Oryzias latipes: one gene and its partners. The main gene of each other region encodes a partner of the protein of the gene in region 7 in a complex. Links are inferred from orthologs where the notes say so. Each region holds a gene or a part of one and is shown on either strand. Other genes may lie near its edges.

Evidence for each region.
Region 1: snrpf (region 7) and lsm5 share a complex: the UniProt entries of both Homo sapiens proteins name them as parts of the U4/U6-U5 tri-snRNP complex. The link is inferred for Oryzias latipes from reciprocal best matches to the Homo sapiens genes SNRPF and LSM5.
Region 2: snrpf (region 7) and ppih share a complex: the UniProt entries of both Homo sapiens proteins name them as parts of the U4/U6-U5 tri-snRNP complex. The link is inferred for Oryzias latipes from reciprocal best matches to the Homo sapiens genes SNRPF and PPIH.
Region 3: snrpf (region 7) and prpf4 share a complex: the UniProt entries of both Homo sapiens proteins name them as parts of the U4/U6-U5 tri-snRNP complex. The link is inferred for Oryzias latipes from reciprocal best matches to the Homo sapiens genes SNRPF and PRPF4.
Region 4: snrpf (region 7) and gemin4 share a complex: the UniProt entries of both Homo sapiens proteins name them as parts of the SMN-Sm complex. The link is inferred for Oryzias latipes from reciprocal best matches to the Homo sapiens genes SNRPF and GEMIN4.
Region 5: snrpf (region 7) and snrpd2 share a complex: the UniProt entries of both Homo sapiens proteins name them as parts of the SMN-Sm complex. The link is inferred for Oryzias latipes from reciprocal best matches to the Homo sapiens genes SNRPF and SNRPD2.
Region 6: snrpf (region 7) and gemin5 share a complex: the UniProt entries of both Homo sapiens proteins name them as parts of the SMN-Sm complex. The link is inferred for Oryzias latipes from reciprocal best matches to the Homo sapiens genes SNRPF and GEMIN5.

Annotation. Positions count from the first base shown.
Region 1 is NC_019878.2:23,646,920-23,650,854, reverse strand, and holds lsm5 (U6 snRNA-associated Sm-like protein LSm5), read left to right. Parts: upstream 1-1,895; 5' UTR 1,896-1,968; coding exon 1,969-2,014; intron 2,015-2,075; exon of another isoform or gene 2,076-2,090; coding exon of another isoform or gene 2,091-2,130; intron 2,131-2,579; coding exon 2,580-2,675; intron 2,676-2,755; coding exon 2,756-2,783; intron 2,784-2,851; coding exon 2,852-2,924; intron 2,925-3,000; coding exon 3,001-3,033; 3' UTR 3,034-3,216; downstream 3,217-3,935. Other genes in the region: psme2 (proteasome activator complex subunit 2), read right to left, coding at 3,375-3,455, 3,756-3,842. UniProt on the Homo sapiens protein: Plays a role in pre-mRNA splicing as component of the U4/U6-U5 tri-snRNP complex that is involved in spliceosome assembly, and as component of the precatalytic spliceosome (spliceosome B complex).
Region 2 is NC_019865.2:7,775,784-7,780,631, reverse strand, and holds the start of ppih (peptidyl-prolyl cis-trans isomerase H), read right to left. Parts: upstream 3,119-4,848; 5' UTR 3,010-3,118; coding exon 2,944-3,009; intron 1-2,943. UniProt on the Homo sapiens protein: PPIase that catalyzes the cis-trans isomerization of proline imidic peptide bonds in oligopeptides and may therefore assist protein folding. Participates in pre-mRNA splicing.
Region 3 is NC_019870.2:3,661-8,528, reverse strand, and holds the start of prpf4 (U4/U6 small nuclear ribonucleoprotein Prp4), read right to left. Parts: upstream 3,135-4,868; 5' UTR 3,042-3,134; intron 1-3,041. UniProt on the Homo sapiens protein: Plays a role in pre-mRNA splicing as component of the U4/U6-U5 tri-snRNP complex that is involved in spliceosome assembly, and as component of the precatalytic spliceosome (spliceosome B complex).
Region 4 is NC_019871.2:19,893,269-19,896,220, reverse strand, and holds the end of gemin4 (gem-associated protein 4), read right to left. Parts: coding exon 2,314-2,952; intron 1,621-2,313; exon of another isoform or gene 1,193-1,620; coding exon 971-1,192; 3' UTR 765-970; downstream 1-764. Other genes in the region: protein FAM57A, read left to right, coding at 381-668. UniProt on the Homo sapiens protein: The SMN complex catalyzes the assembly of small nuclear ribonucleoproteins (snRNPs), the building blocks of the spliceosome, and thereby plays an important role in the splicing of cellular pre-mRNAs.
Region 5 is NC_019871.2:25,537,502-25,542,177, forward strand, and holds the start of snrpd2 (small nuclear ribonucleoprotein Sm D2), read right to left. Parts: upstream 3,150-4,676; 5' UTR 3,021-3,149; coding exon 3,019-3,020; intron 1,675-3,018; coding exon 1,495-1,674; intron 1-1,494. UniProt on the Homo sapiens protein: Plays a role in pre-mRNA splicing as a core component of the spliceosomal U1, U2, U4 and U5 small nuclear ribonucleoproteins (snRNPs), the building blocks of the spliceosome.
Region 6 is NC_019872.2:29,388,953-29,392,782, forward strand, and holds the end of gemin5 (gem-associated protein 5), read right to left. Parts: intron 3,805-3,830; coding exon 3,709-3,804; intron 3,641-3,708; coding exon 3,503-3,640; intron 3,292-3,502; coding exon 3,144-3,291; intron 3,070-3,143; coding exon 2,950-3,069; intron 2,876-2,949; coding exon 2,665-2,875; intron 2,588-2,664; coding exon 2,324-2,587; intron 2,248-2,323; coding exon 2,085-2,247; intron 1,822-2,084; coding exon 1,482-1,821; intron 1,213-1,481; coding exon 1,125-1,212; intron 1,039-1,124; coding exon 874-1,038; 3' UTR 804-873; downstream 1-803. UniProt on the Homo sapiens protein: The SMN complex catalyzes the assembly of small nuclear ribonucleoproteins (snRNPs), the building blocks of the spliceosome, and thereby plays an important role in the splicing of cellular pre-mRNAs.
Region 7 is NC_019881.2:20,375,034-20,379,965, forward strand, and holds the start of snrpf (small nuclear ribonucleoprotein F), read right to left. Parts: upstream 3,092-4,932; 5' UTR 2,957-3,091; coding exon 2,954-2,956; intron 2,358-2,953; coding exon 2,232-2,357; intron 296-2,231; coding exon 231-295; intron 138-230; coding exon 71-137; 3' UTR 1-70. UniProt on the Homo sapiens protein: Plays a role in pre-mRNA splicing as a core component of the spliceosomal U1, U2, U4 and U5 small nuclear ribonucleoproteins (snRNPs), the building blocks of the spliceosome.

The DNA of each region.
Region 1 (3,935 bases), on a different chromosome or scaffold from region 7:
CTTCCACATACTGCTAATCAATACTCTAACATTAAATAGAGATTTAAACAATAATGCAGAGACACGTCCGTAGTCATTACGTCATTATTGCAGCAGTTGCTGACTTGTTCATTGAATTAAGACACTAATGTAGCCTATGATATTTCCGTAATAAGCTATGAGCGGATAATATTACATAATGTAAGGCAATACTTTACCTTACACTGATGTACACTTTCTAACAATAAAAAATACCTGGAGCTGTACAAAGAATGACGTCACATACAGGAAGGACTGATGTAAAAACATCAGAATTCCACATTGTATAATCTTCCAATTCAAACTGAAGTGAAATATATAGGTGCTTTAACAACAAAAGACCAACATGCAAGAAGCTCTCTTAACCTTAACCCAATAATAGAAAAAAAACACACACAAAGGAAAGTGAATCAGTGGCTCTCCAAAGATTGATCTTTAAGAGGAAGGATTTTGAGATAAGATAAGATAAGATAAAGCTTTATTGTCATTGTACAATCACACTTGGTACAACAGTACAACGAAATTGCAAACTGTCCCACATTGGTGCAAAGAGAAAGAAGAAAACAACAATTATCTTTTACACACAAAAAAGTATAAAAAATAAATAGATACATATATAAATATATACTGCAACTTCCAGCTTTTTCTGCCACAATTGACACAAAAATGGATGTGAGATTGTGGAAGGCTGGGCATGCTTTTACATTTCAACATGTTGACGAGCCTTTTCTGCTCTCTCCCATAAATACTCCTGTGGAGAAAATATGTCTGTCCGTTATCCCAGAAGAAACATTATTTCAAATTAACATTGCATCTCTACCTCAGAGCATGTCTTATTGGAATATGTTTGCTGATGATATTGCATGGAAGGAGGTTTGGCAAACCCCTAATAAACGCTTGATCACCAATTAAGTAAAATAAGCTACTTTTAGGATTATCCACAGAATTTACCCAGATACAATTTTCATTCAAAAAAGATTAGATGAAACATTGATACATCTGTAGTTTTTGCTGCAATTCCCCTGAAACAGACATCCATCTTTTCTGGAATTGTCCTCAAGTTAAAGTGCTTTGGTAGAAGATTTGTGATTTCATACATGACAAAATTGATTCTTGTTTTGTTTTATTCTGGAAACATGTTTTGTTGGATCTTATATCAAAGGATACACAAAAGGACTCTGGTTGGCTTTTAAATCTCTTGCTCATGTTGGCCAAACAAAAAAAAAACAGTTACAACTTTTTTTAAATTGGTGGGTTTTTATATTATGTTCAGACCCCATTTTCTTTGTCTTTCACTTTTTTTTTAACTTTATTGACAATTGAGGTATCATACATTAAATAACGAACAATAACCATGTAATCAACATTACCTTGAAGATCAATCACCATTGCCAAACATAACATATTAACAAAAAAATAAAGAATAGAGAAAAACAAAAAAACAATGAACATAACACACAAATAAATAAAAACGAATAAGTAAAATAAAAATAAAATAAAAGAACATAGATCCAATCTAAATAGTCTAATACTAGTTAGGGGTACTCGTGAAGTTTGTATTTCTGAACAAAACAAAGCAATTTCAAGTCATTCTTCTTTTTCATATAATGAAGTGATTTGAAGTAAAAAACAGAGCTCTTTATGAAATGTTATAAAAAGTGTTTTGGTCTTCAAATATTTATTTTTGTGTATATAAAACTTTCCTTGCAACATCTGGATATTAAGAACACCAAATAGAAATTTTTCTGCGTGTAAATGAACTGGCATTGCAATTTTGGAAGAATACCAAAAGCAGAATTCCTCCCAGAATGTTTTTATAACTCCTTTGTCTTACACCTAAACAAACGTTGCTGTTCAAATAAATACTCCACGTTCGATTGCTTTTGCCTGCTGGACTGCGCTCATTTGTCGATTGGTCGGGCCTGTGCGGAAGCGTGTTCGTCAGTAAACATGGCAGCCACCCAGGGCACGAACCCGTCCCAGCTGCTCCCACTCGGTCCGTAAGCTTTAAATTAAGCCCGTTTTCTATCCGGGGTCTGACGGGGATTCACGCAAAACTCCGGGAAGTGTTCATGCGGGGGTCAGAGCCGGGGCCGCTGCGTGGTTTGAACGGTCTGACAATGGCGGGCAGGAGTTAGCAGCTAATTGTTCGTTAGCATCGAAACGCTCATGCTGTTAAAACTACGTTAAAGAATGACACTTTTTAAGTCTTTGGGTGTTTGTCTGATTGTAATATATTTAATTCATCGATTAATATGGTCCTGCCGTAAAGGGTTCGTAGTTGACGCGCTTTTTGAATTGCATAGCAATGCTGCAGCTAGCCGCTCCTTGCGACCGTGTTGCTAATTAGCCCAAAAGGAAACGTTTTCACCTCGTCATTCATTATCATTAATATTATTAGGATGTACTACTCTTAAGAGATGGTTTTCCTTATGTTGGATGCCTTGCGTAAACTTTATTTTAAACAAAAAGTTAAGTTACAGACACCTGTTAAAATATAAAATCAGTGTGGTTTGTAGACTGCATGCATGAAACTGAAATAACTGTTCTTCTTTCTTCAGAGCTTGTGGACAAATGCATCGGCTCTCGAATTCACATCGTCATGAAAACAGACAAAGAAATCGTCGGAACCTTGTTAGGTTTTGATGATTTTGTCAGTATCCTTCATCGATATTTTGGTATCAGTGTTGTGCTGTTTCCCTGTTTGGCCCACAGCCGCTCCTTAACTCTGTGTCAGACATGGTGCTGGAGGATGTGACAGAATTGTAAGTATCTTGTTTTCTTTTTTTTTGTGTACTTGGGGCTTGCTGTTGATGTGTTTTTGTTTTTCCAGTGAAATCACACCGGAAGGCAGGAGGATAACAAAGCTGGATCAGATCCTCCTGAATGGAAACAACATCACCATGGTGAGAAAGCAGTCGGTGGGAAGGATGGGGGGGGTGTCGCTGACCGGATCTCTCATCAGAATGGTTCTCTTTGCAGCTCATCCCAGGTGGAGAAGGCCCAGACGTGTAGATGTCAAGTTTTCTAAATGTACATACATCTTTGGTTGTTCTGGATTGATGTTAGTTTGCGGATTTCTCTTACTGGACATTTTGTTTTTAATATTTTTTAGTTTTGATTCTTTAAGGTTTGAATGAATCACGTCAAGGACAGAAAAGCTCTTTTTGTTATAAATAAACCAGATGATTAAACACAGTTTGATTTACAAGTTTATTATTCATAGGTTCACTTTAGTGCAATTTTCTTTCCTGTTTTTAAAAAGTGTTGGCATCCAACAGCAGTAATAACAGCTCACGGTTCATGAAGTCTAAATCTAAAGTTGCGCTCCTCCAAAACGGCGTACCGCTGCCGCCTCAGTACATGGAGGATTTCTCCTCTCCTTTTGGGTTGGTCACCTTTTCCAGGTTTTTGTTGATGATGTCGTACAGCTCGGCCTGAGGAAGTGAGAAGCTTGTTTGAATGAAAAGGTAATACACTTTAGCTATAAAACACCCCTAAAAACACATTTTCTTATATAAAACTAGGAATTTAACCTTTTTTTTGGTTAAAACCTTAAATACTTTCATTAAAATCCTACATCTGAGTGGAGGAAGATTTAAAAAGAACTTGTTTTAATCCAAGTAACTTCTTTTTTTTGTAAACCAAACAATTTATGCTACAAGAATCTCCAACTAAAAGTGAGCAAAAGTGTCTGGAATCCAAAGCATTTAGCGGCTGGAGCTTTGTCGTCTTACGTAGAAGCCGCGGATGTCGAGGAGGATCACCCTGAGGTCAGAGAAGAGCGCTCTGTCCTTCTCATGAACCAGTGAGCGGTAGTCCATCTGAGGGCAACACAACGACAGTTAAAGGTGTTTCAGGACGTCCGAGCCCATTGGCTACTGGGACATGATTGACAGAAGTCAAAGTGACGCCAT
Region 2 (4,848 bases), on a different chromosome or scaffold from region 7:
AACGAGAATCAAAGTGGGTTTTTCCATCCATCTATTTTCTTGACCCACTGTATCCTTTTAAGGGTGACGGGATAAAGTATGTTACGGTTTGATAAAAAAGAATGGAATTTCCACCGGTAACCTCTGATAAATATGTTTAGCATTTACTCTGGCTCAGTGTTTAGCTTTATGCCATTTGGATTACAGTCAAGCATCAGCTAAATCAGGGGTCAGCAGCCTGCGGCTCTCTGTGGTTTTTTAAAATAACGATCATGTCTAAGATTGCCGTGTCACACCTTTCACACCGTCGGGATGTGCGAGCGGGCAGAAGAAAGACAGCAGCGTGAAGACGCGGAGGGGGCGTGTCTGCGACAGACCAGAGTCTCTTATAGGATGGAAAGTTCTTCATGTTGAATGAGGTTGAATGAGAAGTGAATAAAAGCCTCATCATGCAGAACCTCTCCGGGTCGTCTGTCGACCAGCTGTTGTATTTTTGTCACCAGGTCTGAACCAGGAACGGGTCGGAACCAGGCGAGCTGCTCGTCCCTGTAGCGGTTACCCTGTGCTAACGACTACGGTCAGCAAGCAGTCAGCAAGGTTCATAAAAATAATATAAAAAAAAAAAACAAAAAAAACTAACGGGCTGAGTATTAGGTTTCTGATTAAAGTTTGGATTACACACCTGCGTCACCGCCACGACTCCCAACAATGTTCTGGGACAACAATGGAGAATTTTGAGAAAATTGAAGTTCCTCATGATGAATGAATTATTAATATGTAATGAGGAATTAGCAAACAACAAAGTCTCAAATGTGGCAAGACATTCCAGTATAAACATGCAGCTTTTGTCTAAAAACATCCAGATCCAGATGAGAAAATAAGTTGTTTGTTGACAAAAATCTATTGGAGAAGCAGATTAACTGCTAGTTAATTACAACATATTTGCTAGTTTTGTGGCCTCTCGGGGAAATGGTTCTCATCGGAACCTATTAAATAACAGAGGATGAAAAAAAAAAGAACGCAGCGCCCCCTGCTGGTTCATCACCGCGGTGATCAAAAATCCCACACCGTCACAGCTCAATTTAGACACATATTAAAGAAGCAGCCACAAAAACACATCTACTGAAACTATCATCATTCTCTGGAGCAAGGACGCGTTGAAGGGGAAAATAAAAACATAAGGCAGGAGACACCAAATTGATGAAGCAAGGCACAAAAACACAAGTAAAAAAGGTCAGTCCAACCTGTCCATAATGATTTCTGCGGAGGCAGAATGTCTTGGGGGAGGCTGTTTTTGCCGATAAAATCAACAACAACTGCAAATGAGGCCTCATTGTTTGCTATGCTGCTTTCATTTGGGACAGTTAAAAGAAAATACCTTTGGGACCTGAGAGTTCTTGGAAGTCTGTAAGATCAACGTGCCTTATAAAAAGGAAGCACGTAAGTTTTTCAGAGTTTTTAAATGTCTTAAAAAAAAGAACATGTTTGTGGACGTAAAGGATACAGAAATGTATAAAAGAAATTAATCAAGTTATGAGTGTAACAGCCATATCAGTTGAGAATCACAGATACAAACAAGATCATGTTAAAATAGAGGTATAAAATTGATCAGGAATAATCGGTTTATCTCTGTCAATTTCTCTTCTTTTTGTGCTTTACTCTATCGGAACGTCCAGTCACAAGCTTATTTCTACCAAGTCAGGTTAATTACAGTAAGCTGAAGGTCATCAATGTATCTATGAAGCGTGTTTTTGGACTGTGGGAGGAAGGGATGCACGGGGAGAACATGCAAACTCCACACAGAGAGTTCCCAGCTAGGTCTTCTCGCCGCGAGAGCGCTAACCACTGTGCCATCGTGCAGCCCTTATGTTATATGCCAAATGAATAATAAATATCTAGATTGTTTTCCATTTAGTCATTTGTCATCCTTTTAGATTAAAAGAAATTGGACTGTACCGGAAAGTTAGTTGAATATTTTATGTATCAATTCATAGACCATGTATCGAGATGCGCATCAATTCATTTGAGACGGAAAGATATACAACCCCACTCCAGAGCAGTAAATTAAATACAAGGTACCTATCTACGGCGGGCATGGTGCAGCGTTAGGGCGGTCGACCCATGATTGTAATATTGCAGGTTTGATTCCCGCCTTGCACACCCATGAGTCAAAGTGTCCTTGGGCAAGACATTGAACCCCACCTGGCCTCTGGTGGGAGGTTGGCGCCAGTGTTCGGCAGCGGAGCCGCCATCGGTGTGTGAATGTGTGTGTGACTGGGTCTGCGACTGTAAAGTGCTTTGGGCCTTGAAGAAGGTAGCTAAGCGCTATATAAGTATACGCCATTTGCCATATTTAAAAGACAGATTGATAGATAGCAAGCAAGAAAGGGCATCGTTAGTATTATATTAAACTTTGGAAATGTGTGTTGTACTCCCTGATTACTTGATTCACCTGAATTAAGTTAAAAAAACAAAAACAAAAAAAACACAATGGATCTAGGGGAAAAAAAGCTTTGCGATATCAAAGTACAGACGGAAAGACTCTCACAGACTAAGTTAAGTAGAGAATTAAACAAGCTAGAAAATAAGCAAAAGTAAAACCAAACATGTTGTGTAGTCTTTGTTGGATCTAATGGAATGCTGTATAAACATTACTTTAAGCTTTTAAAAATATAAAAAAAATAAAACGTCGTTTGTTAAAAGAGTGTCTAAACCGGACTTTAATTTGTTAATACGACGGTGAAATTCAGACAGAGACACATGATGATTCACCACACAAAAACTACTTTTATTTATAAGGATGCATCTAATAAACAGACGCAAACCGTATCACGCGCAGTTTACATGATATTATTCTTTCTCTGTAAAGAATAACTATATATTTGAGTCGATTTTCAAGTTACCCTTAAGCCTTAGCTAACAAATTTTAGCCATTTATTCAACTTTTCTTTTAAGCTCACTTACCTGACCGCCGATGGTGATGTCGAAGAAAACGATTGGATTGTTTGGGTTTGTAGGTTGAACAGACATAGTGATATTTTATACATACAACTTATTAACTTTAAATAATAGCAATGTTGAATTCACACGCCACTCATTTGAAAACCACGCACATGCGCAGTAAGAGTCTACGGTGGCTCGCCGGAGTCAGCGAAATACTTGCGCTTTTTTCCTTCAAACTTTATTGAATGAATACAAAAAGAAGGAAAGAAAGAATGAAAATCAGTGCTATGCGCTTTTTACCATGGACTGTAAAAACAATGGACACTATGAGGACAGTTCTTCTTTGTTACTTAATAATATCCAAAACCTCAGAACTATTGATGAAGAGGAAATTAGTTATTGTGGGAGCCTTCTCACGCTTGAGGAAGTAATTTGATTTTATTTGATTTATTTTTATTTCAAGCATTAACTGTAGTCAATACTTTTTTTTTAAATCACACAGATTGACAAACTAATTACAGAAATGATGAAAGACATAGATTAAAACAAAGACTCGCTTTTGTCACATTTGCTTAAATAAATATAGTATTCATTAATGTCAAATAGAGCTTCTTGATTTATTGCTTGAAAATGAGTGGGAAGAACAAAAGCATTCATAACCCCACCCTTTAAACTTAAACTAAAAGTAATGTGAATTATTTGCAATTAAGGACTGCTCAGTAGATGTTATCTGCAGTATAATGTTAAAATTAATAGGGCCAAAATTTTTCTTAAGAACCCCACTGCTATCTGGAACATTATACCATTTACAGATTTTTTTCTCTAGTTTTGGAGGCTTTAATTTTATTTTGAATTGTAACAATAATGTTGTGAAACTCCCAGTAAAACTCTCATCTTTCCATTAGCAGGTCCTCTTAGTGTGGAACCTAATTTTCAAGTATCCTTTTTCACCACACAAATATTTCATCTGGATTAACAGATTTTTTTCATTTAAAAAAAGATCACTCCACCTGGAGACCTGGACACAGAATAGGACCCTGCTGGTGGCTCGGCTATTCAATAAGGAGGGGCAGCTGCTAAACTACAATGTGTCCTTATCGCTATATAATTTTCCTGTCAGTCTACAAGAGTCCATAAACCTTGTGCTATCCTAGGCACTTTAACATTGGGAGTTGGGTCATCTAGACCCACTAGACAGTGCGCTGAACCTTTTTTCTTCAATGATTTGTGAACCTCACTGGTGTCCATGGATTACATGAAATCTTTCCACCTTTATCCATCTTTGTCATGGTAGGGAGAACACGTCAATGCAAGGGTGGGGTCATCTAAGATAGCACAAGGGTTAATGGTGCAGAATGCCCTACCATCAGGAACATTAATGCTGTTTAAAAACACTGATAAATAAGTGACATAGTATATTTTAAATTATTGTAATCAATTTGTTCCAGGTAACAACTGGAAAGTGGTGTGGAGGATCCCTCATAAACATTTAACAATAAATAAGGTGAAAGAAGTGTCTTTTTAAATTCTCCATAAAATTTACCCTGCAAAACAATACTTGACAAAATTTGAAAAAGATATTAATACTGATTGTTTCTGTGGAGATCATTCAGAAACTGTGACACATCTTTTTGGGTATTTGCCCACCCAGACGTTTTGAAAGGAGTTCAGTAGATTTATCATTCATATCTTTAAAGATTTCTCTCTGAGATGGGAAAATGCGTTACCCTGTGTTTTCACTATTTCAAAAAGAGCATAAAATTGTTTTATTGTCTATGTACTATGCATTCATTGTACGTCATACACTGCATTGGTTCTTTCTTGTGTTGTATACTTGCATTCTGTTTCATAAAGTTAAATAAAATAAAATAAAATAAGAACAATGGACAGTTCAACTTCTCCCTTCTCATGTTCCCAAATAGGAAG
Region 3 (4,868 bases), on a different chromosome or scaffold from region 7:
ATAATCCAAATGACCCTTGTTGACGTAGGAGGCAAACATCAAACATATAAGGGCTCATCTGATTGATCAACAACATAAACGGGTCCTTCCGATTGGTTAAATGCATAAAGGGATTCATTTCATGTGTTCAATATTTCAAGCTGCCATGAGTTTGTTTTTGTACATTTGAGGTAACCATTTATTGCGATTTTCGCCGTCTTTTGCGGTATGCATATTGCACAGCTTAATGTTGCGATAACGATAAATTTGCGGTATATTGTGCAGGCCTACTTCAGAGGATCCTTGACACGTTTTCTTCTGTTGTCCATAAGTTGAAATATCATAACAGACTGAGAACAAATATCAGCAAAAACACCCAATGGTTTAATTTCATTTCACTTAAATTTAAGTATAAGGTGGAGACATTAAATGCAGACATCAAATAGACAGTGGAATTCATTAGAAGCCTGCTCTGAATGGATTTGATGAATTTTGACCAAATTTAGTAGAATTTTTCCTTTTATATTTTAATATCAATTTTTCCATCTTAAGAATTGCATATAATAATTTGATGACACACGCCTTTCTTGACACACAAGGTCACTGTACATAGCAGTAAAAACAAGAATAAAAATACATTTAGAAAAATAGGATAAAAAAACAATGTGAGAAAGCTGGAGAAAAAAAGAGGACCGGAGAAAACGAGAGGAGGCGTCAACTTGGAGGAGCTCAGAGGTAAACAGGGGCCAGGTTATGGAGGGATTTGAAGGTGAGGAAGAGGAGGAGTCTGAATTGAATTGGACGCCAGTGCAATTGCTGGAGGAAGGGGGGGGGGGGGGGGTGATCAAAGGTTGGAGTTCTGGAGACAATATGGGCAGTGGAATTCTGGACCAGATGCAGTTTATTACGGATTTTGTTCAGGAGACCAAAAAGGAGCAACTCAAGTGTGAATCAAGACAGAAGTGGACAGTGAGAACAAGGCGGAGACGATGAATGTTCATAACAATTATTATTATAAAGCCATCCCCACAACACGATAACGGCCCGCAGCCATTGAGCCGCATCGCCTCCACCGCTCACATGTTTATATTTACTCTGGAGATGAGTTTGGAAATTGTGTCGTAAACCCGCAGGTCAGAAGAAAATGTAGCCGTCAACAGAGTAGAAGTGAACCCAATCTCTGCACCTGGGGGGTATTCCAGAAGTCATGTTTAAACTCCCCTGACTTTAACCCTGAACTCTGGCTGAAATCCACCTGAACTTGCTTACTCTGGGTATGTCGGTTCCAAAAGTCCGGATACGAGTTAGCGTAATTACGTTCCACTTGGTAACCCTGGGTAAATGCACGTGCACGGCATGTACATAAAGACATTCTCAATGGACCGCCGATTTCTGGAGTCACCATGGAAACGCGCACTAGTGGTGCTAAATAAACTCATCCGCCTCTTCCTCCCTCTCACTCATGGTGCAGAAAGAATTAAACATAACAGGACAAAATAACTAGACAAAACACAGTAAAACAGCTAAACTAAACACATTTGGTCAAAAACCCACACTTAAACCCAAATCCGTCCAGACAGGCAAAGGGAATGGTATCCCACAATTCCTTGCGGTGCAGATCTAACAGCAGCACCAAAGTTACACCTACTTCATTGAATCAATTTGAATGAAAGTAAAATAAATGTCTGATAACTACGTGTTATTTTTAAGCTGACTGAACTCCAAAAAAGATTCATCTTAACTTAAGCAAATAATTAAGTTAGATGAAAGTATAAAGTTTCTCTTTCCAACATCCATATGTGGTCTTATCATCCTCTCATGGTGGAAAAAGTATTATCTGAGCTTCTTCATCCACTAAATCATCTTCAAATGGACACGCCATGCTGCTTCACATCTCTGAAAAACAAACTAACCTTCAACTAAACCTGCTCCTGACCAGGTTATGTTCAGAGCATGAGTTGCTATGGCAACTTGACCTACCCTGAAACATACCTCCATTTCTGGAACAGAAAGCTGAGGTTATCCACTTCCTTAGCCTCAAACTTACCGTGGGAGCTAGCATAACCTGCTTTCTGGAATACCCCCCTGGTGGTTTCAAATCATCTGAAACGATGCCTTGAAAATGTACATAACGGGTCTGCTTTTCATAATTACCCGGGACAGGACCCTCCGACCCTCTCGATTGACGCCTGGCCTCCTTCTCTAAAAGACGATCACTGACTTGATCTGCACTGATTTTCACCCTTATGAGAATGTTATTTTCGATTTCTATCATTTTAATCAGGACAAAAAGGATTCATATTTTAATAAAAATATTAATTTTTTGCTAAATTCTATATTCAGCTAAGTCCCCAACAGCAAACCCGAAGTGATACTTAGAAATAAAATGTAAACATGACATAAATTCTTCACATCTGTTAGCATCAATAAGCTCTATCATATTCAGTTATTCTATTATTTTCTTCTCTAGGAATCCATCATTTTATGTTAACATGTGTACGTTTGACTCCCTTTGTTTGCATTTGTCTACGAAATGAATAAAGTTAATTAAAAACAAATAAAGTTAAATGAAAAACAAAAACACAATATTCCTTGTTAGCCGGCTGAACTTCTCTGTTTCTTTCAGATGCTCCTCCCCTATTTGGAGATTTTGGTACGGTCGCCTTTTTAAACGATGAAGCATTTTAGTCGACAGTAGTTTTAATCTTCTATCCTTGGTAATTTGATGTTTTATACCTGTCCTATCGTAAATGCCAGCCTATTCTTACGTCTTTTCTTTGTTTTGCGTTTCTTGAGGCAAACGGACATTCAGTCTGTACTAATGACGTCATCTACTAAACACTGAACATTTCTTCCCTCCATCACCCTTTTTGCAGGCGAAGCTGCACAACAGTTAGAACCTCCAACCAATTTCTGCAGTGGAACCGGTTCCGATCCACGCGGGGGAATCTGTGGCTGATTGAAAGCGCGTGCGGCGGAGGAATAAATTAGATGCTGTGAGCGCGTGCTAGTCCTTAACTGTTTTTGCTGCTACAGCTTCGTTACTTTTTTCGTAAACTCACCTTAATCCGACAAAGCTGCCTCCACGCGCTAAATGATCCGGATATATGTGCTGTAACCGCTTCCGGGTCAACCTACTACTTCCGGTTCACCGGAAAAACCTGGATACGCGCGTCTTGTGTCTCAACAACAGGTCGTGGAGCTCCGCGAGCGCGCGTTTTACCCACTCGTTCAAGGTAAGCTCACTGGTAAAAGCGCGTGACGAACCTAATTTGTTGCTAACCAGAAGTAAAACTGCAGATCACGTGGTGTTTGTTTATTTGCTGAATGGATGTCCAGAAAGGAGGTCAAACGTCCGGAGCTCATCTCCAGGTCTTGGGTTCCTTGCAGACGGAGCAGAGCTCGTGGCTTTCCTCCGAATCAGAGATTCTGTACAGCTGGCTGTCATGACAGAAACAGGTGGTTGTCAACCAAAACCTTACACAAACTGATCCGTGTGACCCAGAGCATCCTCATTCTTTTAAGACCCTTTGACTGAACTGGAACCAGTGGAGCATCAAACTAGAACCTTTCACGTTTCGTGGTTAGGTGTGTCAGATAATCAGCAAAGTACGTCCACTTTGCTCCCTAGGGGGCGCTGTTTTGGCTGCTGGATTCAGACCTGAGGTTCAGTGGAGAAATGGTATGGTTCTTATTGCTGGGTGTAGTCACAGGGCGTCTTCAATTCCAGAATAGCCCAAACCCACAGAACCAGAGATGAGCTTAAGTTCTAGTGTCCCATAATTTATGTAAAAGAAACAGAGCTTGTTCTTTAAAATGATATTTTGGAGTAGCTTGTGACTTTGAGGTCAAACACTGTAGACTTCTGACCCCCTCTTTGTGGGAGTCTGAAGATCTGATCCAACCAGAGGTTCCTGAGTAAACCCCCACAGAGACCAGGGGGGTATTCCAGAAGTCATGTTTAAACTCCCCTGACTTTAACCCTGAACTCTGGCTGAAATCCACCTGAACTTGCTTACTCTGGGTATGTCGGTTCCAACAGACCGGATATGAGTTAGCATAATTACGCTCCACTTGGTAACCCTGGGTTAATGCACGTGCACAGCAGGTACATAAAAACATTCTCAATGGATCGCCGATTTCTGGAGTCACCATGGAAACGTGTGGAGAAAAAAAGAGAGAGAGCTGTACTTCAGTAAGACGGATTCGGACATTTAAATGACGGCGTATGAAGATTATACGTCCATCAATAAAGTAACACGGCTGCATCATCAGCAAAAGAGAGTTTCTGCTTGGAGAAAAGAACAGACAAAGTAAACGCACGAGTTTCTGATCTTATTTCTATTTTCCTTGTGACGCATATATATACAGGGCTCCAGACTAACTTTTTTCACTGGGAGCACTGTGGCCCCCAACTGAAAATTTTAGGGGCACAACCAGAAAATTTAGGGGCGCATACCGTAAATCAACATTCTAACCCAATCTACTAATTTCCACTGTATTACTAATAAATACTTTAATAATAGATGCAGAAATTACAATGTGCTGTTTCAAATTCAGTGTCACATTTTATTCTGCACTTTTGAAGATGCAACAAGAAGGTAAACTGACAGCACCATCACTGTCATGACAGTACAAATAAGTAAAGAAAACGGAGGGAAATTTATCTTTGTGACACCAAATAGGTGCAGCCAAGATGCACAATAAGCATGTTTGAGATCACCCAGGTGGACTCAACGCTGCGCAGATCACCTGGTGTGTGACATATATTTTTGTTTTTGCTCCAACATCAACTGTCAATCAAAACAAAAATATCACGAGAAAGGGGCGGGAGCAAGGCCCCAACCTGAGCGAACGCAGCTGGAAATTTAGTACTGCACTGACTGAAA
Region 4 (2,952 bases), on a different chromosome or scaffold from region 7:
GACCTACAGGAAACCTTTGACCTCTGTCATTAAAACCAGGACTACATTCTTAAGTATTGAGGTTAACTTTTTGGTACATATTTTCTGCTCCATTATACAAATACATTCTATAAAAAATCTAAATGTGATTTCCTAGATTATTTTTTTACTTTCTGTCTCACTGTTAAAGTGTTTCTATGATGAACATCACAGACAAAACTCATTTTAAAGAATCAATGACTGGTAATGTTTTTGCTCCACTATAAGGCTAATAAAGTGGATATTTCTTATGTTTTCTTGTCATGTGATATACCACCAACCTGAGATCTTTTGCCAGGTTTTGACCTTCTACCTTCTGAAAATGTGTTGCAAAGTTTCTGACAGCTGACTCTGCTCTCCAGCTGCGCCTCGACGACTCCATGCTGCACAGAATCAACGGCCTCATGGTCCTCCTGACCTTCTTTGTGTGCCGGATCCTGCTGTTCCCCTTCATGTACTGGAAGTACAGCCGGCAGCTGGGGGTTCCTCTCTCCGCCGTGGCCTTTCACATGCCTCTGCACTGCAACCTGGGAAACCTGCTGATTCTGGCTCCACAGATCTACTGGTTTCTCCTGCTTTTGAGGAAAGCCAACAGACTCTACCTGAGAGGGAGGACGGCGCCAGACAAGGCCCGGCTGAGGACGGACTGAAGAGTCCCACTAAAGGACAGATTAGCAGGTTACATGCTGAGCTGGAATTTGAACCTGATCTTTTGATTTTTCTTTTAGAAGCAAATAAAACTGTTCTTGTAGATATTAGAACTTTATTTACAAAAGAACAAACCTGAATGACATGAGAAAACCAAAAACTGTCCTGACTTCATTGTTCTTGCTTTTCATTCTGACATTTGTTTTGTTGGGGAAGGCTTACTATAAGCAGATTCAAGGACAGCTTGTTGCACCTGTGCAGGTGCGTCAGCGTGTTTTCTTTCTGCATAGCGTCCATTGGAGCGTCACGCTGCTGATGACACCAGCTGAGCAATCTTCTGCTGCAGGACCGCTTTCATCTCCTGGTTGAGCAGGTTGTCCGTGATGGTGGAGAAGAAGTGACGCGTGTTGTCGCTCTCCAGCGGGCTGCAGCTGTCGGGGAAGGCGGCCATGATGGCCTCGTAGGAGCTGAGGATCTCCAGACTGCACAGGAACAGAGGTTCACTCTGACCTCCAGGCATCATCACCTGGAAGGAAAACATCTGTAAACGGAGGTTTCAAATGGGAAAACAGAAATCTTCTGTAAGCTGAGCAGTAAACGCCTCAAGTCCTCTGAGATGGTCCACTTTAAAGCCCATGTTTTGTTCATCAACAGAAGAAAAATTTAAGACTTCTACCAGAAAAATATTGACAGAAATTCCAGGACTATTTTTTTAAGTTTTGGCTTCACTAAAGTTGAATTCCTTTTTTCCTTGCAGCTCCACACATCCTCACACATGGAGGAGATCTTTGCTGCAAACAGACCTGCAGCTCTGGAAAGACTTAACACCTTCTCAGAAGTTCAGGCTTTATAGTCCCCCTCCAATGAAAATTTTACATTCTCTCTTGTGGCATTTGTCTGATGGACAAATATGAAAGTCAACTGAATAAAAAAGAAAAAGCCATGAAACTTTAAGAAATTTGTTTTTTTAAAGTCATCCAGCAATTCTACGTTTATGGACGTTTAACCAGGTGTGGCACCAACTGGTAAATTCCTCCAGAAGTGCGTGTCTAACAAGCGTTTTGGTCTGAACTCTAAACAATTCATGTCTTCTTGTTTTTTTACTTTCACACAATCATACTTCAGAAAAATATGGAGCAGCTTAAGAGTCTAAAGGATTTAAAAGGACTTTGAATTCCGGTTTACAAGGGCGGGGGGGGGGGTGTCTTAAACGTTTGAGAACCAGCTCAGGTCTGCCCCCCACCCCCATACTAACAAATAGAGGGGGAGGTGTCATGGTTTGGGGCTGTGTTGCAGCAGCAGGAGGATCATTCTGTGGCCCATCAGAGCCCGAGGAACCTGTGAGACCACCAAAGACCCCCCACCCCCCTACACACACCAACACCACACACACACACACACACCAAAAACTGAAAGCTAAGAAATGAAGAGTTCTGAATGAGTCCAGTCCAAGACTTTTGCTACATTATATCACCTTTAAGTACTAACTCAAAACCCTTTTGATGAGTTTGTACTTCTCCGGAATTGATGAAACTTTCAGTTCACATTTTTCCAACCATCAAGACCTCGATGGTTGAAATGTAGGAACAGAGAAAAGCTTCATGCGACCAGAAGAGCAAAACCTGCAGGGAAGAGAATCCTTCTGACCTGGATGTGCTGAACGTGGCAGAAGAGCTGGCTGAGAACGAAGAGGACCTCCTGGCTTTTGCTCTCCACATGTCCCTCTTTGGAGACTCCAGGGTCTGGGGGGGCCCGGCCGTTCATGCAGGAGTCTTGGTATGGACTGACAGCAGAGTTTGGATCTCCGGATGGTGCTGGTTCTGGAGGAGTTGACTCAGAGACGGCTGCGGTGCTCGCTGTAGGAAGCTGCAGCTTGACTTTAACAGAGCTCAACACGTTCCTAACTGCGTGGGCGTACAGCCTGCCAGCATGGGCCCAGCCGTCAGCGGGCAGCCAATGGGAGCAGCTGGAACCACAGAGTAGCTGGAACGCCCGGAGCAGGAGAACGGACACGCGGAGCTCACAGGAGAACTGCCGGAGGTCCAGCAGAGGCAGAAACTCCACGTATTCCAAAGAGAAGGGGACGTTCAGCCGGTTGGAGGCGATCAGTTCCTTCAGGACCTTCAGAACCCTGCTCCACTGTGAGACGGAGCACCAGGGGAGGATCTGGGTCAGACCCACCAGCAGGCCTTTGCTGAACATGTTCACGTGGTGAGGCTGGTGCTGGTCCAGCGACAGACATGACAGCATGGTGGACTGCAAGGAGTCTGACAGAGAGCAGCACTC
Region 5 (4,676 bases), on a different chromosome or scaffold from region 7:
ACACAGTATTCGACTTATTTAATTGTCTTTCCTTTCATCCAGACAAATCCAAAGTGTACCAACAAATGACAACGCAAGAGGGGGAGAGAGAGGATAAACAGACAAAAAAAAGGAGAAACCGAAACAGTACAAAAGTGATCCGAACCGAAATTGCCGTACCGAAACGGTTCGGTCCAACTACAAGGAAAAAACTGATCTGTGTCCGAAAACTGGAACTCTGTGTGTGTGTGTGTGTGTGTGTGTGTGTGTAGAGGATGGGGGAGTCAACCAATCAGAGTGCAGGACTCAGAGGACTTGGTAAAGTTAGAAAGATCTTCACAGATTCGGACTTCCTGCTGAGAAATTCCATGTTTAATATATTTTATATAGTTTTTCACATTTTAAGAGACATGATTCATAATAAAGGTGCTCAATAGTTCTAAAGATACTAAAGCTAATGTCAGCAAACTTTCTGTACTGACTAATCATGACCCTATTGTCCCCCCCGTTCCGTTTTCGTACACAGATCAATTTTGACACAAGTTTCTCACAAGGAATGTGTCAGAAGTCAGAGCGCAGTTGTTGTGCACTTGTGATGTGCGCCAGCAGATTCACATTTGAGCAGTTGTAATCCCAGATTGGAGGTTGTAACTCTAAATGGGAATTTGTCAGTTCTGATTTAGTTTGTCAGACTTTACAGCAGAAGATTTTTACACACAGATGCAGATTTTTGGTGTGCAAGTTCTCACATTGTAAATTACAAGTTCTCACACCAAATCTACAAGCTCGTCTATTTAGACACATTTTTACCTTCATACTAATAACTCACTGGCATTTGAAATCTTGGGGTGCTCAGGTGGATTTGCTCACATACGTAATCTATTCTTTTAAAAACCAAAAAGATCAGAAAATTACAATGCAAGAACTATTGAAATAAAACATCTTGCAATCTCCCTTCTTCATTGCTTAAGCTTTGTAAGAAAATTTGATTTTATTACACAAGTGACTACATATAGAAATCTTGCTGTTGACATCTAACCCTTAAAACAGGTTTAGTATTTAAGAAGTGGCTTTTTATTCAACTCATACTTGATAAAAAAACAAAACAATGCTTCAGAGAATGAAATCATTCAAACCCCACACCCACATCAGGCACAGTACCCAATGTGGAGGAGATGCTATGGACGCCTTTTTAATCTCTTACATTTGTGAGCTTATATTTAGTGTTTTACTTGTATTTGAATTCTTCTGAATGTATTTTATTCTTGATTCTATTAAAGGAATATGTCAAAGAGAGGAGGGAATAATTGAAACATTTTAGAATAAAACCACTGTAAGGCGCCATGTTATTTCAAATCCTGGAAAGAAGAAGAAAAAAAGACTGCAAAAATATGCTTTAGTGAAGCAACACTTTCTAAATCAAGATGCAAGCTCTTCGTGTTTGTTTCCTCTTCATATAAAAGTCCTAAATACACACTTAAACCTCTCTCCGCTACACCAGCAGCCCCCCAATACCTGTCGAATGCTTTGACTCTTCCAAGCAGCTTCTTGTTGTTGCGACAGTTAATGAGGACTTGGGTGTTGTTCTTGACTGACTGGGTGAGCACCGACAGAGGGCCAGTGTTGAACTCCTCCTCTTCTCTTTTCTGGAGCTCTTCAGGCGTCATCTCTGACTTAGGTTTCGTTAGAAGACTCCTGTGGATTAAACAAGTTCTGAATTAGTGATAACAGCAAACAAAATAAGCAACGATGTACTGTTTAAGCATCGACTGCTTGGGCGGCCTATTATTTGGATTTGGGCCTTTTTATTATTATTCTTTTAAATTAAAAAATAAATATAAAGACACAAACGCAACACTTTCGTATTTAATGCACACACAAGCATTAGTTACTGTTAATGCGAATCCAAGAGTTGGCTTCATCTGTGTGCCTCAACAAAATGATCATTTTCTTATAAAGTCAAGTTAGCACAAAAATGTACAATATAGGCAAGACATCTGAAAAGTGGAACCAGCTAAAAAAAGTCTCAGTTCCTGCAAAAGAGCATTTATGAGAGCTGAAGCTGTTGACTGAAAGTGCTCAGTTAATAGAGACATTTGAGAGGCAGAAGGTGCTTAAGCAGGAAAATGGACCACAACCAAATATCTAAATAAAACTAAACATGCAAAACTAGTATTAACCAGAAAACCATTGTACAGGAGACATTACATCAGACGGAATCAAAACTATTGAGGAATTATCTCACACACACAATAAATGCTTTGGTCATTGATAAATTGAATCAGTACATTTTAGTCTCGATATTTCTTTATATTTGTACAATGATCACTACAAATAGGCAGAAGTAAAACCTACTTTAAAAAAAATGGCTGCTCTGGATGATAGAGAAACAATTTACCTAAATAAAGGTCAACAAATACTAGACTTTATAAAAGGATCAAGTTTTAAAACATTAAAGCCTCCCGCCACCCTTAAATGAGCACAGAACATTTATTGTTTCCAGATACATTTGAAGTTTTCAACAATCTCTGAACAGTGTGTGCTTTGAGATCAGCAAAGAGTTTAGGCTCTTTACGCACAAAATATTTAGAACAAAACTTTGGCTTTCACACAAAATGAGTCTATAACCGACGACTTTGATCATATCATCTTGCAGAAGCTTAAACATTTCTACTTTCTAAAGAATGAATGCTGCAATCGCACAACGAGGACATTTACTCATGATGGATAGAGCAAGCTAACAGTCTCATTAGCAATTAGCTAATGAGGCTTAGTACGTCCATCAAGCTTTCGCGCGATGTACAATCACAGAATTTAGCTTTGGACGTAACTTTTTAAACAATTTAATTTGAGAATGCAGTAATTGCAATGTAATCCAATTTAACACATTTCTAAAAACCACCCACTAGGCCACACAAAGCGATCTAGCACCAACTCGAAGGAAAATGCTGCTAGCTTAATAGTGCGATCTCCATATTAGCAGCTAAACGTAAAAAGTAACATTGCCCTCAACATCGAGACACAATAGAAGATACTAACATGATTCCTGGTTTATAAAAACCGTTTAGTAAAGTTCCAAAGCCTCTTTCGTGCGTCGGTCGTGTCTACAACGTTTTAGCCGACAGTCGCGTGCACAGAATCACTTCCGGTGATATTAACGCGCTTAAATAGAATAACTTCCGGGTTACGACGCAAACCAAAAATTCGAAAAATATTCTATTCTTTTTGGCAACAATAGAAAAAAAATCAAACAACGGTCATCAGCTAAAATATTCTATTCTAATCTTGCATCCATCTCTAGTAATTTCGTTACTGAAGCCGAAGTTAAAACTGTTATGAATGCCCCAGCATTCATGCAGCAATTTAACAAACGACATTATAGAACATGTTTAAATAAATACACGAAAAAGATTAATTAAATACAATTTGATACATTTAAATTCAGCATTGCTTTTATCCAGTTATTTTGCATTTGCAGGATATCAAAGTCCAGGTTGACAGTATCAAGAAATAATATAAAATAAAAGAGACGTTGCTTAGTCTGTGACCTTTGCCTGGTAAACAACAACAACATTATTAACAACAACAACAATTAAAATATTGGAAATAACAACAACAACAATAATAGTAATAATATTAATAACAACAAAAACAATAATAATAATAATAACCTTTCCTTTTTTTCATATGTGCCACGTTCCAAATCACAGATTGCCTTATCTATTATTGTAGGTGCTAAACAAATGATGCAGCATTGTTCATTTGTATTTTTAGCAGTATTTTTAAACTCATTTATTTGAAAAATATAATTCAATATCAAGAAACTATAAACATGGCCTTTTGTAACTGCATTTTGCAAATCAAACAATACAAAAAAACTTTAATAGTAAAAGTTTTAGGCTCCAGGTTTATTGCTGTCATGTCTTGCATACATGGGCAGCCGTGGTAGGGTGGTCACCCTCTGATCGTTAGATTGCAGGTTCGATACCCGCCCTACCGTTGAAGTGTCCTTGGGAAAGACGCTGAACTGAACACCACCTTGCTTCTGGTGGAAGGTTGGTGCCAGTGTTCAGCAACCAGGAAACCAGTATGTGAATCTGTGTATGAATAGGTGACTGATTTTGGCCTTCAAGGAAGGTAGAAAGCGCAGTACAATTATACGCCATTTACCATTTATAATACAATTATAAAAAGTTATAAGATGCATTATAGTGTCATTTAGAAACTCTCACAACTGAGTTCTATGAGATCTACAGCAGGTGTATTTATCTAATGTTAGTCTAATATAAGTTTTGTTTTGAAGAGATGTCTTAAAGAGTCTGAGCCGTTGACAAAAATGTTGTAGCACTTCTTTCAGATGGTAAAATCCACAATTCCTTTTTGGCCAACATCCAAAGGAGATCTTGTGACTTATGAAATAAGGAAACCAATTCCAAACACAAACAATCCCTTTGGGCTTTTTTTCAAGTTTGTTGAGTAAACCGTTAAAACTACAAATAGTTGTAGGACCACAACTCAAGTTTTTTAGTAGACTTTTTCTAACAACTAAAATGTTGATTAAAGGATTCTGATAACATATTAATCTATTTATTGCTTATCTTTTCCCCTCATTGCATAATGTCAATAAAAGAGTAAAAAATAAAAAATAATAAAAACTGAAAGCTTCTTCATAGGACAGAAGATTTGAAGGAGATGCC
Region 6 (3,830 bases), on a different chromosome or scaffold from region 7:
AGAGCAGTCAGGAGAATCTGGTCTCCACTTTGGAGAAACCTTCTCAACAAGCGGGGGTCTGAGGCCCTTCCATGTTCAAGCCGGCCTCCATGTCTGTGTCCACATGCTCCACCAGCTGCTAGAGCCGAAGGACGTCCCAGAGACATCTTCCATGGTCCAGCCACGCTGAAGAACAGAGTCCTGCGAGGGGGCGGAGTCAAAGCAGGAGAAATGTCTGAGTTTGACTCCACCTGTAGCCTCCATCAGCTGCTGAAGTCACGCTTCCATGCTGTTCTAGCACCACCTAGTGGCCAAGCGTGGTAACAATCACTACCACCAAAAGTTTCCTCAAAACATTTGAACTGAACTTTTGTAATTTACCAAACATTTGGAGTTTCTTTTTTTTTACTTTGTGTAACCCTTGTGCTATCTTAGATGACCCCCCCCCCCTTCCATTGAGGTGTTCTCCCTACCATGACAAAGGTGGATAAAGGTGGAAAGATTTCATGTAATCCATGGACACCAGTGAAGATCACAAATCATTGAAGAAAAAAGGTTCATAGCACTGTCTAGTGGGTCTAGATGACCCAACTCCCAATGTTAGAGTGCCTAGGATAGAACAAGGGGTAAGAATTAGTATAATAATCAAAAATAGTTTAAATAATTAGTTTATAGTTTAACTGTTCCTCAGTTCTGAGCTCAGATCCTGAACTTTATGAGGTTTAACCACTTTTATAAATGCTATTAGTAAAAATGTAACTGTTTTCACAAACTAAAGGAAAAACTACTTTAAAATGACCAAAATGATTTTAGAGGAGCTCTGATTCAGGTGACTTTCATGTGTCCTTTATTAACCAAAACTGTACAGGTGCAGAGGTTCAGCAGCAGACGTGTTCATGTGATGAAGCGCCGATAGGCGTTCAGAATGGAGGGACTCCTCCCGTGTTTCTGCAGCAGGTCTTCGGCTTTCTGTCGCAGCGACGGACACACGGCGCCCGCAGATCGGCCGAGGTGCAAAAGCACGAGGGAACACTCCAGGACGTCTGGATGAGGAAACATCTGAGGGACGAAGAGGACGCAGTTACAGCTCCAGATCAAACACAGAACCCATGAGAGCGTGTCCAGATGGAGGAGTGGAGGCCGACCTTCAGGGTGTCGGGCAGGTCGACCAGCTGCTGCTGGTATTTGGACATCTTGGAGGACAGAGACAGAAGAGTCTCCTGATCTTCACAGCTGGAACAAAAACTTCTAGTTAACTGAATGAAGCACAAACTAGAAGAAAAAGTCCATGGCAGACGCTGCTGGACCTGACGGAAACATGACCAGGGTTAAGGTATTTCATTTATTTTACAACATAAACCAGATCAAAGTGATGTTTTTTTTAATATTTAAATGATTCAAATGATCCAACTTCCTGAACTCAAATTTCACACCATCATCGTGAAAAAAACGTGCACTTCCTGGCCTGGTCGTTGTGAGCGATGTTTGCATCAGAATCTGACCTGTGCTCTGCAGAGTTCTGGTTCCCCACAGGGAGCGGGTCTTCCTGCGCTCGGCTGTGCTGCGCCACCATGGCCGCCAGCCGCTCCCGGATCTCCTGCACCGACCTCTGCAGGCTCTGACAGGCGGCGTGCGGCTCGGACAGCAGCACTTCAAAGTCCTCCTGGCCTTCGCCCGCTGCTCCCTTTTGGACCTCCACCTGCTCCGCGGCGCTCCTCCACCAGCACTCGTACAGGCGGTGATAGCGGACCAAGGCCTGCAGGCTGCTGAGCGCAGCGCTCGCCTCAGCCTCGGTCCCCTTCAGGGTCTTTGGACGTTTCCTGGAGAACAGACCAACATCACCTAGACGACAGAAAACAGGAATGTTGTTTTAAATCCATTTTTAGAAACACAGAAATAAAATCCAAACTGAGCTCGTCTCAACGGTTCTGTGAAACGCTTCATCAGTTTTTCACGTGTTTCTTCTGTTTGTGTTCTACTTTTTTGATCTCGTACAGAAACGGCTTCAGAGAAAATGCGATTTGTTGTTTTGAGACGTTATGGGGTCAGAAGTCTGAAGCGGAGTCTGAACACGTGTGACGGCTTCAGAGGGAGGCGTGTTGGACCTTCGGGGAACAGCCGCCTGCACAGCTCTGCGGAGGCGCAGAAGAGTCCGGCGTCTCTGATCCAGGCCGCCGCCCACCACAGCTCCTTCAGCAGCTGCGCGTCGTCGTTCAGGATCCAGCTCAGCACGCCGCGGGTCAGATGGAGCGAGGCCTGCAGCAGGACCTGAGGAGAAAGCACAGACAGTTTCCTGCGTTGGACTGATGACGTTGTGCCGCCGTGGCCGTTTGGAGGTCAGTACCTGTTTCAGGGGGGCGGTGGGGGCCGGACTCTCCACGGACCTCAGCTCCTGCAGGAGAGCCTCCATGCTGCCGTCTTCTGGTGCGTTTGCAGAAATGCCAAACTCCTCCTCCCACACGTCTCTGACTCGGTCCTGGATGCTGGCGGGATGTTTTCTTGGCTCCGCCCATGTGTGGGTGGAGCTGCAGGAGGCTGCAGGGATGACCCCGGCGTCACGCAGCTCCACAGTCAGCAGCTCCGCCACGCAGAGATGCAGCCTGTGGACCTGCAGAAGGTGAAACATCTCGGTGAGAGGCTTCCTGTTCCTTTCCAGGGGGGATCAGGAGAGTGTGAGCTGCTGACCAGAAGGTCGTCCTGACCGCTCAGGACCTCCTGCGCCGTCAGCCAATCCTGAGCAGCCGCCAGATCTTTGGCGCATCGCAGCGCCAGCGTCTGAGCCAGAGCCCCCTCCCCTGAGATCCTGGCCACGCCGGCTGCCGTCCTCAAAGACGCGACGTCATTCTTCTTGGCGATGACTTTGGCGGCGTCGAAACCGGAGCCGGCGGCGAGGTGACTGAAAGAAGCAGGTCAGACGGATCAGGCGGAGGAAGAGCGCTGGTCTGTGAGGCCGGACTCTTCCCTTCAGACCATTTAGCTGCTGCGGACAGATGGCCGTCCTTCTCCAACACCGCAGCCCAGCCGCCGTACAGCTCCTTCAGGACCGGCTCGTCCGGCGCCAGCCGCGCTTTCGCCAGAGCGATGGCCTCCCTGACGAACGACAAGCTCTGGTTGATGGAGCTGCTCCACAAACTCCTTCAGTCAAACGGCCGAGCGGCTCAGACCTGAAGAGCTTGTGTGATCGCAGCAGGTCCACGGCCTCGTAGACTCTGTTGATGGACAGCAGGTGGGACGCCGCCTTCAGGTACTGCTCCTGCAGACACAGCTGCCTGACGTAGGCCTCCACCGCGCGGCTCCAGGCCTCAAAACCAGCTGGAGGAGGTGAAGAACCAACACATCATGAGGTCACTTCCTGTCCCCTCGTCAGCTTTTATCGATGCAATAAAAATCTAGAGAATTTCCTGTGAGAAATGTTTTTTAGTGCTCTTAGACCAGCAGCAGCCAAAACCTTCTCTTTTTTTGCATCAAACTGGCTTCCTGACGTCTGCACAGACACTTCAACCGGCATCTTCCCGCTCTTTACCCATCGCAGCGACGGACAGCAGGTGGTCGTTCAGCTCTCCTTTCTCCGTTGCCAGCTGCAGCGCCCCCTGCAGGTCTCCGCTCCACAGCCGCAGGTACACCACCGAGTCGAAGTGCCCCGCCTGCACGTGACCTTCCTCTGAGGGTCGACAGGAAGTTGAACGTTACGCTGAAACGCCCAAAGCCAGGAAGGGAGAACCAACAAACCTTCTGCCTCCAGCATGAGGCGCAGAGCCCGCCGGTCTGCAAACAGGCCCAGGTGGACATGGTCGCCATGTCCCGGGCTGCAGCCAGCAGGTGGCGCTGAAAACACACAATCAGCCCTGCTT
Region 7 (4,932 bases):
CACATGGTGAAAACACAAACACACGGCTCCACTTTAGGGTTCAATCACACAAGCTGGCTCCTCTTCATCATCATTCTCTCATCTCTCCATCTTCTTCTTCTTCTTCTACACCTCTGATGTACAAAACATTGTTGCACCTGAGCAGAAAACATGTTTCCATGAACGACTGCAAGGATTTCAAACGATTATTTACTTTTTGAGGGCGTTTCTTCATCAGGCGGTTTCCATACCTGACGAGCACTTCACCCAGATGACCCGCCAACGCTCCGTCCACATACTCCTCCGTGTTTGCCAGCTGTCAGACATCATACAGAAAAGTCAAAACCTCAAACCTTCTCTTCATTTTTCTACCAAATTAAAGATTTGTTAGATTTTACGTTCATTCTGTGGCGCCCTCTGCTGGATTAAACAGTAAACTACTCATAACGTTTAGTTTAAAGATCAGCTCTGATCATCTTAAGATCTAGTGTCAAAGCCTTCCCAGTGGTTCTAATTATGATTACCCAGTTTGTTGTTGTGGCGAAACTGTTGGTACAGAGCAACCCCGCCCCCCTTTCCCTCGGAGCAGGGAGCTTGTTGCCCGCCCACCATATTTTCAACGTCACAAATACGATCTTAATCAAAAGGCATTTTGTCTTCTGCTCCTGATTCATTCTTCATACGTGTTCTCCATCATGAGAAAGATGCCACAAGAATATTAAAAAAAAAAAAGATCTTATGGATTTCTTTGCTGTTTCCCAAATAACCAAATGCAAATTTTCTGTTCTTTTCTACAAATGTTAAAAGATTAACCTTTAATTCCAGCACCCAAGTTTTCATCTAAATACTTATATTTTTCTGTCATTTTTTAACTAATATTTAACCTGAGAAAATTCACTCGACAAAGAATCTACTTTGGAATTTCAGGAAATTAAACATTTTAAAAACAAGTCCAGATATAAGACTTTTTTCTGAAGAGCTTAGAAAAGCGTAAGAAAAGATGTTACTGTTATGGTGGCGTGTCACAGTTTGGTAAAAACCCATTCCATCTGAGGATTTCTGCAACAATCATGTACTTTTCCTGCCGTTTATCACTTTTTTTCTACAAACTAAACAAGTAAAATGTTTATGGTAATTTCCTCTGAGTAAAACACAACAAATGTATTTCTTTTAAAATCTCATAATAAAAGATGACAAAGTTAAACAACAACCTTCATCTAAACAACAAGAGTTTCTTAGCAAAGGTCAAATTTCATGAAATCTAAATATACAAAGAATTATGTAAAATATGGAGAAGCAACACCGGTTTGGTGTGAGAGCTTTAAGGGTCTGAAATCTCAATTTTTTAAACAGATTTCTTTTATTCTACATGTGCTGCTATCTAAACAATAGAACAAAATGGTTTGATATGTTTTGGTAAGAAAAGTTGTTCCAGATTTAGAAATGCTAGCCAACTTTCATGCAGTATCAGGCCGCTGCAGCGACTGACTTACAGACTTAATTGCTCAGTGAAGGACAAAAAAGCTAAATTTGGAACATTTTTAGTTGTGATTACTACGGATAACCCTGATCAAAAAATGAGCATCACAGATAAATACTTAAAAAAAATAAGTGTTTAGAGTTGTTTTGACTTATTTACTGTTTAAATAACAATGTGAGACAACATTTATGATTTGGTTTGAATGACTTCATTGGTTCAGAGAAATGTTTTGTTATTTGTGCCCAGAATAATCTTATTGTGAAAAACCAGAAGTGTTTTCATTTAGAAACTGTATTGAGTTTGTTTTTGACTCTTGGATGAAGCGGAAAGTTCCTGATCAATAATTGCTGAACAGGATCGTTTAGCAAACTCAAAAAAGCCTCCGTCATCTTTGCAGAGGCTGTCACTATGCGACAGGAGCCATTTGACCTTTTTTTAAACGACTTTTTTTTATTAAAATGTTATATGATAGGATAGTTAGAATTTTTGAAAAAAATTGTAAACTGGTACAAGAAAAGCTGCTAATTGGTTTTCCACCAACAGTCGTCTAAGTTAATGCTCAGAATAGAAGACTGAAAACACTGTTGGTCATTTAGAAACATGTATAATAATAACAAACTGAGTACGATAAAAACACTCTTGACTAATTTAAAATAGATTGAATAAATAATTGCATTTACTTTTGAGTAGTTTGCCTCTGTGTTGCAGCTGCATTTTAAAATCCCAGAATAAACCCTGATATAGTTGTGAATGAAGCTAGAGTTGCTTTTACCTGCATGTTCATGTATCCGTCCACAGACACCAGGTAGCCTTTGTACTCCATTCCCCACTTCAGCTTCACCATCACTGGTTTCCCTGTCAGGCCGTTCAGGAAAGGCTTTGGGTTGAGGGGCAAACTCTGCGGCAGAGGGGATTGAAACCTTACATCAAGTCTGCAAACATGACGCTTTTCCCTATGAGATATTTAGAACTTTAAGTATGCGGGTTATTCATGTTATGGACAGTCTCCACGTCTGATTTCTTTACACCACCAATCATCAACAGGAGCGACTGAAGAACCAATCTGGACTGCATTAAAAAAATAAATTGAATAATTGGGAAACAGTACATAAATTCGGTTTTGGAGCAGTTTAATTATTCAAATGACCTATATACTTCTATTAATCTGTTGTATAATGTTCGACCACACTACTACCTGCAGAGGAACGTCATAGTTTTGTGTTGTTCCGACGGACGTTCATTTTCTGATACGGCAACACGTTACCCAAAACAAACAACACTTTAGTAAAAGCTCACTTGAATATCTAACCGTTTCATTTTTAAAGTTTTGTTTTTAGTGTAAGTTTGTTTTCCCCTACGAGCTGTGTAAACCAGTTATGAATGGGATGCTAACATGGCTAGCATAAACGAGCTAACTCTCTTAAATTCTTTGTTTTAACAAACTTCAATAAACCCAAAGGCCGTGTGAAATTACATATTTGAAGAGTTACTCACCATTTTGCTCGATTAAGTTTAGACCCGATTAACAGTAAATTAGAAGTTTATTATGTCTTCGTCACAAAAACGTTTTAGCTTCACAAACTAGAAGCACGCTTTGCCGCCGACAGGAAACGGAAGTGGCATCGAGCTTTTCGCCGCGCCTCACGTCGCCCCCTGGCGTTCTGGATGTATTAGTGCAACAAAAAGACTCGGACTATATTCTGATCACATTCCAGTGCATCTGCTTTATAAAGTCATAATAAAATAATCATAAATAAAATCAGTTTACAAAATGACACAACATCATTCACACAATTAGTAAACAACAAAAAATAAACAAACTATGAAAAAAAACATAAATAAACTATTTTATAACAATGAGACAAGACCAAATGTCAAAAAATAAATAAATAAGTGAAATTAAAAATGATTTATAATCAGATAATATAAAACCCAATGGAATTATAGAATTGTTGTCATCAGCTCCAGGCTGCTGACAACATGTGCTGACGAACTCTCACATTCTGCTGTTTATTTGAAAGGCTTGCATTACCGAGCTTTAATGTAAGAAAATGATTTTAGTTTTGTAAATGTTTCATTTGAGCCTGGAGCTGGAGAAGATGCCAAAACTGTGGATGACATCTCACCATACAGGCACTCACACTCTGTATCAACGCCAGGTAGATTTCACGTTTGCTACAGAGGAATCATGGTGCGAGGCGGTTACCAAGGAGGCAATGGCTAAGTAAGTAAGCTGAGAAGTGTTTATGACATATAGATTGTTGGGAAAACAGTGCGAGAATCAATGTGTGAGTTGGTGGGTCTCATCTTCAGAAGATAGATAGATAGATAGATAGATAGATAGATAGATAGATAGATAGATAGATAGATAGATAGATAGATAGATAGATAGATAGATAGATAGATAGATAGATAGATAGATAGATAGATAGATAGATAGATAGATAGATAGATAGATAGATAGATAGATAGATAGATAGATAGATAGATAGATAGATAGATAGATAGATAGATAGATAGATAGATAGATAGATAGATAGATAGATAGATAGATAGATAGATAGATAGATAGATAGATAGGGTTGGTTTCCCTTTTGGCTTTTCCCATCAGGGGTCGCCACAGCGAACGAGTCGCATGGTAAACTTGGCAATGTTTTACGCCGGATGCCCTTCCTGACGCAACCTTCTCAAAGCAACCGGGCTTGGGACCGGCACAGAAGTAGAGAAGGGAACAGGGAGCAGCCCGGAGTCGAACCCTGGTTTCACGGACGGAAGGCGCCGCAAACCAGCACGAGCTAAACCAGCTCCCTATATATCTATATATATATATATATAAAATTTAAAAAAACGCCCCTCTCACCCTCCGTGGGTGCTTTCTCCTCCAAGCTCGGGTCCTCTACCAGAGGCCCGGGAGCTTGAGGGTCCTGCGCAGTATCTTAGCTGTTCCTAGCACTGCGCTTTTCTGTACTGAGAGGTCTGAGGTCTTTCCAGGTATCTGTTGTAACCACTCCTCCAGCTTGGGGGTTACTGCCCCAAGTGCTCCAATTACCACAGGCACCACTGTCACCTTCACTTTCCAGGCTTTCTCCAGTTCTTCTCTGAGTCCCTGGTATTTCTCCAGTTTCTCATGTTTCTTCTTCCTGATGTTCCCATCACTTGGCACTGCCACATCCACCACAACGGCTTTCCTCTGTTCTTTATCCACCACTACAATGTCTGGTTGGTTCGCCATTACCATCCTATCAGTCACGATCTGGAAGTATATATAGATATATCTATATCTATATATATATATATGCGTTGAAATGACGTGTAGAACAATTTCTCCTTTTGCCGCCAGCTTTTTCCTGAAACTGTGATGTGTTTCTGGGTAGAAAGGCAACTGACTGTCATTTCTGGGTCTCCTGCTGTCGGTCTGGACGCCTCTTCCTCCACATTTTTCTATGGGTTGAAGCTCCAACATGAGGCAAGTT